Saccharomyces cerevisiae S288C: one gene and its partner. The protein of the gene in region 1 interacts with the protein of each later gene in a biochemical or structural test. Each region holds a gene or a part of one and is shown on either strand. Other genes may lie near its edges.

Region 1 (5,443 bases):
AAAAAACTATAATTCACTGCATACAAACGTATTGACTGCTCCCCTACAGCGGAAGATAGTAAGAATACAACATCGTAACTGTTTCCATATTTATGTGCCGATATGGTAAAAGTGAAATCTAAGAATAGTGTTATAAAGCTATTGTCTACAGCGGCAAGTGGATACTCTCGTTACATCTCGATTAAGAAAGGTGCACCTTTGGTTACTCAGGTCAGATACGATCCTGTGGTGAAACGGCATGTGCTTTTCAAAGAAGCAAAGAAAAGGAAAGTGGCAGAAAGAAAGCCATTGGATTTCTTGCGTACAGCCAAGTGAAGAAATATGAATAAGCACGAGCCCCGGCATGTAAGCCCATCGAATACGCAGACGTTACGCATTTTTTTTCATTTATCCTGTAAATAAGTAATGGATACATACATTTTGTATACGATTCAAACGGAAAGAAATTCCGCTAACGAAAAAGAAGTTATATAAAATTACATTACAATAATCAACTCCCTCATAATAAAGTTGATATTTCATTTAGATATGCAAAAACACATATGCATACATACATACATACGTATATGTAAAAGTTAGAATCAAGGAAAACTCGTGACATACAAATGCAAGCATAAATGAAAAAAAAAGATCGAGATTCAGTATTTCATCGAAACATCGAAATCTTCATAACTATTCTTATTAACGTGGTAATATTAAAGTCTTTTTTATTGATTTCTTCTTGGGTGATATTGGTTCTCCTTTTGGTGATTAATGACCTCCCCATGTACTGTTACCACCATAGTTTGACTTATTTCCTTGGTTGTTCCAAGCAGACCTATTTCCATCGTCTTGGTTACCCCATGCAGAAGCTCCGCCATCTCTTGTACTTTTATTATTGTTATTTCCTCCCCAGGTGGAAGCCCCGCCGTAGGCTGACCTATCACCGGTACCACCCCAAGTAGACATGGCACCATTAGATTCACCACCCGACGCCCAAGTGGATGCACCGCCCCAACTTGATTTGTTACCCCAGGCTGAAGCACCACCCCAAGTAGAAGTAGCACCAGTACCTTGGCCGCCCCAAGCTGAGGCACCGCCGCCAGCACCGCCCCAAGCGGATGCACCTCCATTACCTTGGCCACCCCAAGTGGAAGCACCACCCCATGAGGAGACACCGCCACCACCTGAGCCTCCATGCGCATTTACAGCTGGTGTTTTGCCACCATCGAAGGAGCTCCATCCTGGTGTCATACCACCGCTAAGACCAGAAGAGGTAGCCGCAGCACCTGCTGCAATACCGCCAGTGGCCATGTTTCTTGGGGCACTGACGTAACTTGGGCCCATTCTGGCCTGTGGAACTCTACCACGTCTATTAACCAATTCATCATACGTGATACCTTCACCTCCCTCACGGTTGTAATATGTTAACTTATGCTTGTCAATTGTAATGTGTTTGTTCTTCGAGTGTAATTCGACAGTAGCTTTATCACCATTCACATCTTTCACAATACCTAATTGACCCTTGTAACCAGCAGAACGAATTCTTACTGTTTTGCCGAGTGCAACTTCACGACCTCCTCTGGACTGGATGGGTTGTTGGAATGTCTTAGATGATGGAGGTCCCATTTTAGAAATGATTTCTGGATTCATTTTACTTAGATCCATTTTGTTACTTAACATATTGTCCTTGGATGCCACGGCCTCAACGTTACTAGGGTTAACAACAAAAACCCCTGCATTTTCAACAATCTTCTTTGAAACAACAAAAATTTGTTGTGTTTGTATGTACAGGACCTGACCTTCTCTGCGTGAACCTACTTTCTCTACTATGGTATCACCAATTTTGATTTCATTACCATTTGCATCGACACTAGAAACGCGTGCACGAGCAGTATTTATTTTACTCAAGATAGACCCCTTCGTAATTGTCGACACTTTACCAGTTTCATCAATAACCTTGAAGATATCGTGGCCAGCTTGAATAATACAAGCAACATTTTTAGCACTCAATTCGACTATGTCATGTAGCGCATATTCACTTGATGTAGCTGTAGTGTCGATGGATTTGGACAGATTATTTGCTGTAATGGTAACTTCTCTGCTTGTTTGAGTTGACATAAATGTCACTTGACCTTGCTCTACCATAAGAACTAAACCAGCATCACCTTGATGTTCACCATTGATGACAGTAACGTGATCACCAGGTTCGAAAATTTTCCTCAGAGTAGAGATAGGAAATTCTAGAGGCGTTGTAAAGCCATTTAGTTTGATAGTAGCAATATCTTTCGTGGTTCTTGTTACAATACCCTTGGAACCACGTTGTTCACCATTTAGAACTTCGATACGATCACCTGGCTGGAAAGTGACCTTTGCAGCTTGAGCCTTCTTGATTGATTGTGAAACTGATGTTAGATCTACCGCGCCCTCTTTGGAACCGAATCTTGCCAATTCCTCCACAGTTGGCTGAATATTTTTGGTTTCCACATGTTGAATTCTGAAGGACTTATACAGATAACCATCGATATAATCTTCATTCTTATAAGTAAAGTGGCGATCATCCCTTTTGTACAGGTTAGCTTGGTCTAATCTTAGAGCCATTGTTGGATTAAATAATTGCGGTGGTGCTCTATGAGCAAAAGTTGGTCTTCTGGATTTACGTTGCTGTGTTGTTGGATCAATTTCGTCGAATTTACCATAATCCAGACGAGGAACAATTTTCAGCATAACTTCTAAATTATTCTCACTAATTTGGTCGACCATAGCTAAGTCACCCTTATAGATCCCTCTCTTAATACGAACGTAGCTACCTTCTTCCAAAGCAACATCATCAGATTTGTTTGGTTTTAGTAATAGAGGTAATTCTTGGACAGGAATTAGCAATTTTTGAGAAATATAAATATCTGGAACACCATTACAAAATTTTTCAATAACGGATTGCTTAGGGGCTTCGATATAGATTCTTCCTGTGTAATTATCCCTTTGGAAAATGGATAAAATTTTCAGTTTTTTCTTACCCATCGCCCTATCCAAATTGAATTTTTTTTTTAATAACTTACGAATCAATTCCTTTTCTTTACCTGGTCTGCAGCGCACACCCCAAATGGTAGCTGTATCAACACTTGGTAGGAGAAACCTCTGGGGCACGTAACCATCTTGAGCAGCAGCACGGTATTGCTTGGAGCTGCTTCTACCGTAACGCTCCCTTAATTCTTTCGCTAACCTTTGAGCGTCTTCTTCTGAAGTCTTGTTCAAATCTTGGTCCAGTTGTCTATGTAATCTATCGTCTCTTCTTGCGCCTGGAGCACTTGCTTCGTCATCTTCATCATCACCATGGGTAATGAAACCTTCACGAACCAACTCTGAATCCTCTTCATCTTCATCTTCATCTTCATCATCACTAACCTCAGCTTCAATATCCAAGAATCTGTTCCTCTCCTGACGACGCCTTTTAGTTGGGGCTTCATCGTCATCGTCCTCATCATCATCATCGTCATCGTCGTCTTCATCATCGTCTTCATCTTTGTTATCGCCCTCATCTTTGGTATCACCATCACTGTTTTTGGTGTCCTCTTCGCGAGGTCTCTTCCTTTCATCAGAGCCCTCTTCCTTCTTGACAATTTCATTTGCTTCGGATGAATCCGTATTCAAAGTTGCTTGGGCATCATCTGTAGCAGGCCCGTTACTAGATGAAACCTGCTCTGTGGCCGCCGTTTCTGCATTATCCTCAGGTTGCTGTGGCTCAGATTTTGCTTCTTTTTCTTCCCCATCTAAAGGGGGAATATTGCTTGTACTTTCTGCACGTTCTGTACTTTCCGTTGTGGTCACATTGCCACTATCAACAGTATCTTTGTCACTAGTATTTTCATCTTTAGTGTCAGTTGACTGCGGAACCACTACGGGATCAGCAAATTGTTGATCATGGTCCTGCATGCTCACGTTTGTGTCCGAGTTGTCACTCATAATTATCACAACACCCGTTCCTCTTTCCTTCTGCTGTTACCTACTTGTATGAATGGTTCTTGTCAATGCTACCAATCTTTGAACATGTTCATCCAAATTTTTTTCTATGTCGCATATCAGGCGGGTCACCTTTAGAAGGAACAAGTATGAAATATACTATCATATATATATATAATAACAATTACGCATGCAGGTGTCAGCATTAAGAAGCCGCAAGGTCACCTAAATACCTTCCGAGTTTTTTTTCAATGAGCAAATCCACTAACGTTAGTTATGAAAGAGTAGAGCTATTCGAGAACCCGAAAGTACCTATCGAAGTTGAAGATGAAATTCTGGAAAAATATGCGGAATCCAGTCTGGACCATGATATGACCGTTAATGAACTACCAAGGTTCTTCAAGGATTTGCAACTAGAGCCCACAATTTGGAAACTGGTGAGAAATGAAGACGTCATTATAGAAGGAACTGACGTAATAGATTTCACGAAACTGGTACGATGCACATGCCAGTTACTGATACTGATGAATAATTTAACAGTAATAGATGATTTATGGTCGATGCTTATTAGAAACTGTGGCAGAGACGTGGATTTCCCGCAAGTGGCCTTAAGAGATCATGTATTAAGCGTAAAAGACCTTCAAAAAATCTCCAATCTCATCGGGGCTGACCAAAGTTCTGGGACCATTGAAATGATTAGTTGTGCTACTGATGGCAAGAGGCTTTTCATGACATACTTGGACTTTGGTTGCGTATTGGGAAAACTAGGTTACTTAAAGATGTGAAGCGAACAAATCCATATTCAAATATTTTTTCTCCTTTATTCGGTTCTGGAATCTATTCATATATATGTAGAAAATAGTCGAGTACATATGCAATTATAGGGTAAGCTGATACACAAATGCATGGTGTGGTCCTCTTCCTTTGCTTAAATGATATGTTTCGTTTTGAAGTAGTTCTTCAAATAGTTGACTTGCCAAACACCCAGCGAGGACAAGACAATAATAACCAAAATTGAGAAATTTCTTACCCTTCTGTTGGTAGATTCATTGGTGTCTCTTAATCTCTCCTCTCTGTTTTTCAAGTAAGTCAATTCGTCGACAATTTCGTCGGTAATTTCCTCCACTCTACGCAACTCCACTTCTATAGGTTTCAATTTTTCGTTGGCACTGATCTTGTTCCAGTCACGAGCTTCAGCACCACTCTCAATGTCCAATTCAATGGCCCTGCTTAAAGAACGGCCACGATACTGAGCCTGATTTTCAAAACAAACGTCGAATGCCGTGGAGGATGGAGCAGTAAACGCAACACGAACGTCGCCTGCAAAGTCCCTCTTTCTACGATACTCGTTTCCAACTGAATCACGCACGAAGAGGTTTAGTTTCTGTCCATCACCAACAGAACCATCTGAGTGAATATCCGCGACAACCAATTGACCTTCAGTGACAAAATCACGAATACAAACCTGTTCTGGATCTGTAGATGCTGCAATGTCGAAATGTAA
Region 2 (2,804 bases), on another chromosome or scaffold:
TCTTGTTGTTTCAAAATTCTCCTCCGCTGCCATATACTGAATGGCAGCGTCACGAGGGTTCTAAGGGTCATAGTAGTCAAAGGAACAAGCACTATCCATGGTATATGTGAGGCTTCATGCACTGTTAAAAACGTGTCCGCTACACTTTGAAAAAGTGAAAAGCTTCTCTTTGTACTTGGATTAGTCCTACCATATCGCAGACCGACTGAGCTGCACGAGAATGACGCAAAACCATTTTGACGATTGGCTAACCTCTTTAACATAATGCCATACTTTATCTTGAAATTTTCCTATCCTTGGACCTTTTTTTTCTAATGAAAGTCTTTTTAGCCTTAGTTGAATTACTGGACGGTAGAAAAATTGGGTTTGCCAGCAAAAACAAAAGTGCAGAACGTTAAATAAATGAAAGCATAAACTCATATGCTAGAATATTTACTAAAAAAAAAAAAAAGTAAAAAAAATTCATTACTATTATACATGTGATATCAGAACGGAAGGTTTTACTCAACTTGACTGCCATCCCTCGGTTTGTAGTGAGGCAACAGCTCCACAACCTCAGCTGGTAGTCTACCATCGACCTTGATGGCGTACATACCAGCTATACTATGATCTACGCTCAGCCACTTTGCTACCCACGACTTAGTAGGCTTACACATTCCTACGAGGCCCTCGAAAGAAGGCGACGTACATTCCATTGTAGAAACACCTGCCTCTTCAAAAATACCCTGACAGTTGGGACAACCATCTCTATTAAACTCATTTGTGGTCTGCACTATGCCACACAGCATACAGGCTCTTTCACTAGACATCTCTTACACTGTACCTCGTTCGCTTTTGCCAAACTGAATGTGGCCAGGTGTAATTATTACACAGTACATCCTTCGAGCCCTTTCTTAAATTTCACTTTTTCACTCGATTTCACTCATAGAACGTATAAGGTGACCTTTATCAACATCGAGATTAATTATAGATAGAAGATGATTAAATTATATACATGAATATATTTATTTGAGGTATGGTGTCTAAAGCGTAATATACCTATCTACTTCACGTAAATTGGACTACGAGGACCGCTTTAAATAGTAGTAACCATCTCTTTCCTCCATATTTTTCTTTACAAATTCTGGAAGCTCTTCACCCTTATTACTATCATACAAGATGATACCATTACCTAGAGCATGTTTCTTTTCGTTTCTCTTGTAAAAAAAAAGTACAACAAACGTCCATAAACCGTAAATAGCACCAAAAATTAAGCTCACGGTGTAACCAGTCTTAAAACGTGGTGACTCCACGGTAGGCCACGCCAAGGTAGGAATCCAGGCGTAAGTGGATTGAGAGAAGGAATAAATGGCGATCCATGTAATAGCCTTCACCTGAGGATCAAACCTTAAGAAGTCATTAATAAACGACCATAGACAAGGCGATGCGGCCACACTGAAATACGTGGTGAAGAAAGCGTACCATTTAGCTTTCGAAGGAATATCCCACTTGATAAGTAAGGCACAAGAAACGGTATTCATTATAGCAGCAAAAACCATGAATATCCACTTACATCTAAATAAATCGGCACCAAAGGCACAAAAAATCACATACGCAAATCCTAAACATGCGGGTATAACACTCAGGTTGTTCACTTGGGCAATGGAGTACTTTGTATTAGACTTTAACCACAAAGTATATGAACCACTATACGCAGTCATGTTATTCCACGAACATGTATCAAAAACAACAAGTACCCAGAATGCTGGAGTACAAAATACTTTCTTCCAAAGTTTTCTGCTCCATAATGGGGCTAGCTTACTTTTATCAACACCATCTTTGATTTGGTTCCTCTTATTTCTGGCCCTTGCAATTCGTATTTCTTCGTCAGTCAGAAATAAAGAGTAACACTTAGATGGTACACCGGGAATAACAAAAAAACCAATAATAGCCGTGGGAAGAGAAATTGCAATGGCATCGATCAGAAACATCCATCTCCAGCCTGCTAGACCATGGACGCCGTTCAAACTTTTGAATATGCGACTTTGCAGAAGTCCTGAAGTCACGGAACCCAATTGTTGCCCACAAAAGAATAAACAGACTCTTGAATTAATTTCATCTGGGGCATACCAACAACCTAGTATATATTGGGACACTGGGTAGTAAGCAGCGCCAAAGGCACTTAAAATAAATCTGTAAGCCCTTAGTTCGGCTAGTGAGTTTGCCCTATAACATGCAAATGTGAACCAAGTCCAGCCCAAGTCCATTACAGGCAAAATAATATGAGAGGGAAATCTTGGTAACAAATACATAAATGGTAATTGGAAGACAATGGCACCAACATTAGCAATAGTAGAAGTGTAAACGTAATCATTACCTTTCATGTTTAAATCTTCCTTCATATTGGAAACATATGCGTTAGTGTAGTTATTCAAATCCACTGACTTGGACCAACATAACATAAAAAAGTATAAAGCAATAATAATGTCTAGCTTGTAAAGAAGCCGTCTTTCAGCCTTGGTTTGAGTAGTATGATTAGGATACAAAAACTCGTACCACTTACGTGATTTCTTGTATTCCTTATTAACACGATACTCGAATTCATCAAAATATTTCCACCATTTACGCCCAGCTTCATCTCTCACTTCATATGGCAAGTCATGCCTTAAATTGTGAGGATGAGGTTCTACAGCTGTAGTTTCTGCCGTAACGTCTGTCTTCGAGGACTTATCTACGCTATGATGTAGCTCCTCTTCAGCTATGATACTGGAGTTAGTATCGTCTGAGTATAAGTACTGATCATCTTCGGGTAGTTTTCTCAAATG

The links. The genes of interacting proteins can lie anywhere in the genome.
Region 2: the proteins of SPT5 (region 1) and SPT4 form a complex in vitro, tested with the Saccharomyces cerevisiae proteins (4 studies listed by BioGRID, with this or other methods).

What each region holds. Positions count from the first base shown.
Region 1 is NC_001145.3:246,176-251,618, reverse strand, and holds SPT5 (transcription elongation factor SPT5), read right to left. Parts: upstream 3,943-5,443; coding exon 751-3,942; downstream 1-750. Other genes in the region: mitochondrial 54S ribosomal protein bL33m MRPL39, read left to right, coding at 103-315; RAD33 (Rad33p), read left to right, coding at 4,191-4,724; ERV25 (Erv25p), read right to left, coding at 4,868-5,443. UniProt on the Saccharomyces cerevisiae protein: The SPT4-SPT5 complex mediates both activation and inhibition of transcription elongation, and plays a role in pre-mRNA processing.
Region 2 is NC_001139.9:617,016-619,819, forward strand, and holds SPT4 (transcription elongation factor SPT4), read right to left. Parts: upstream 810-2,804; coding exon 501-809; downstream 1-500. Other genes in the region: membrane insertase COX18, read right to left, coding at 1-263; VHT1 (Vht1p), read right to left, coding at 1,062-2,804.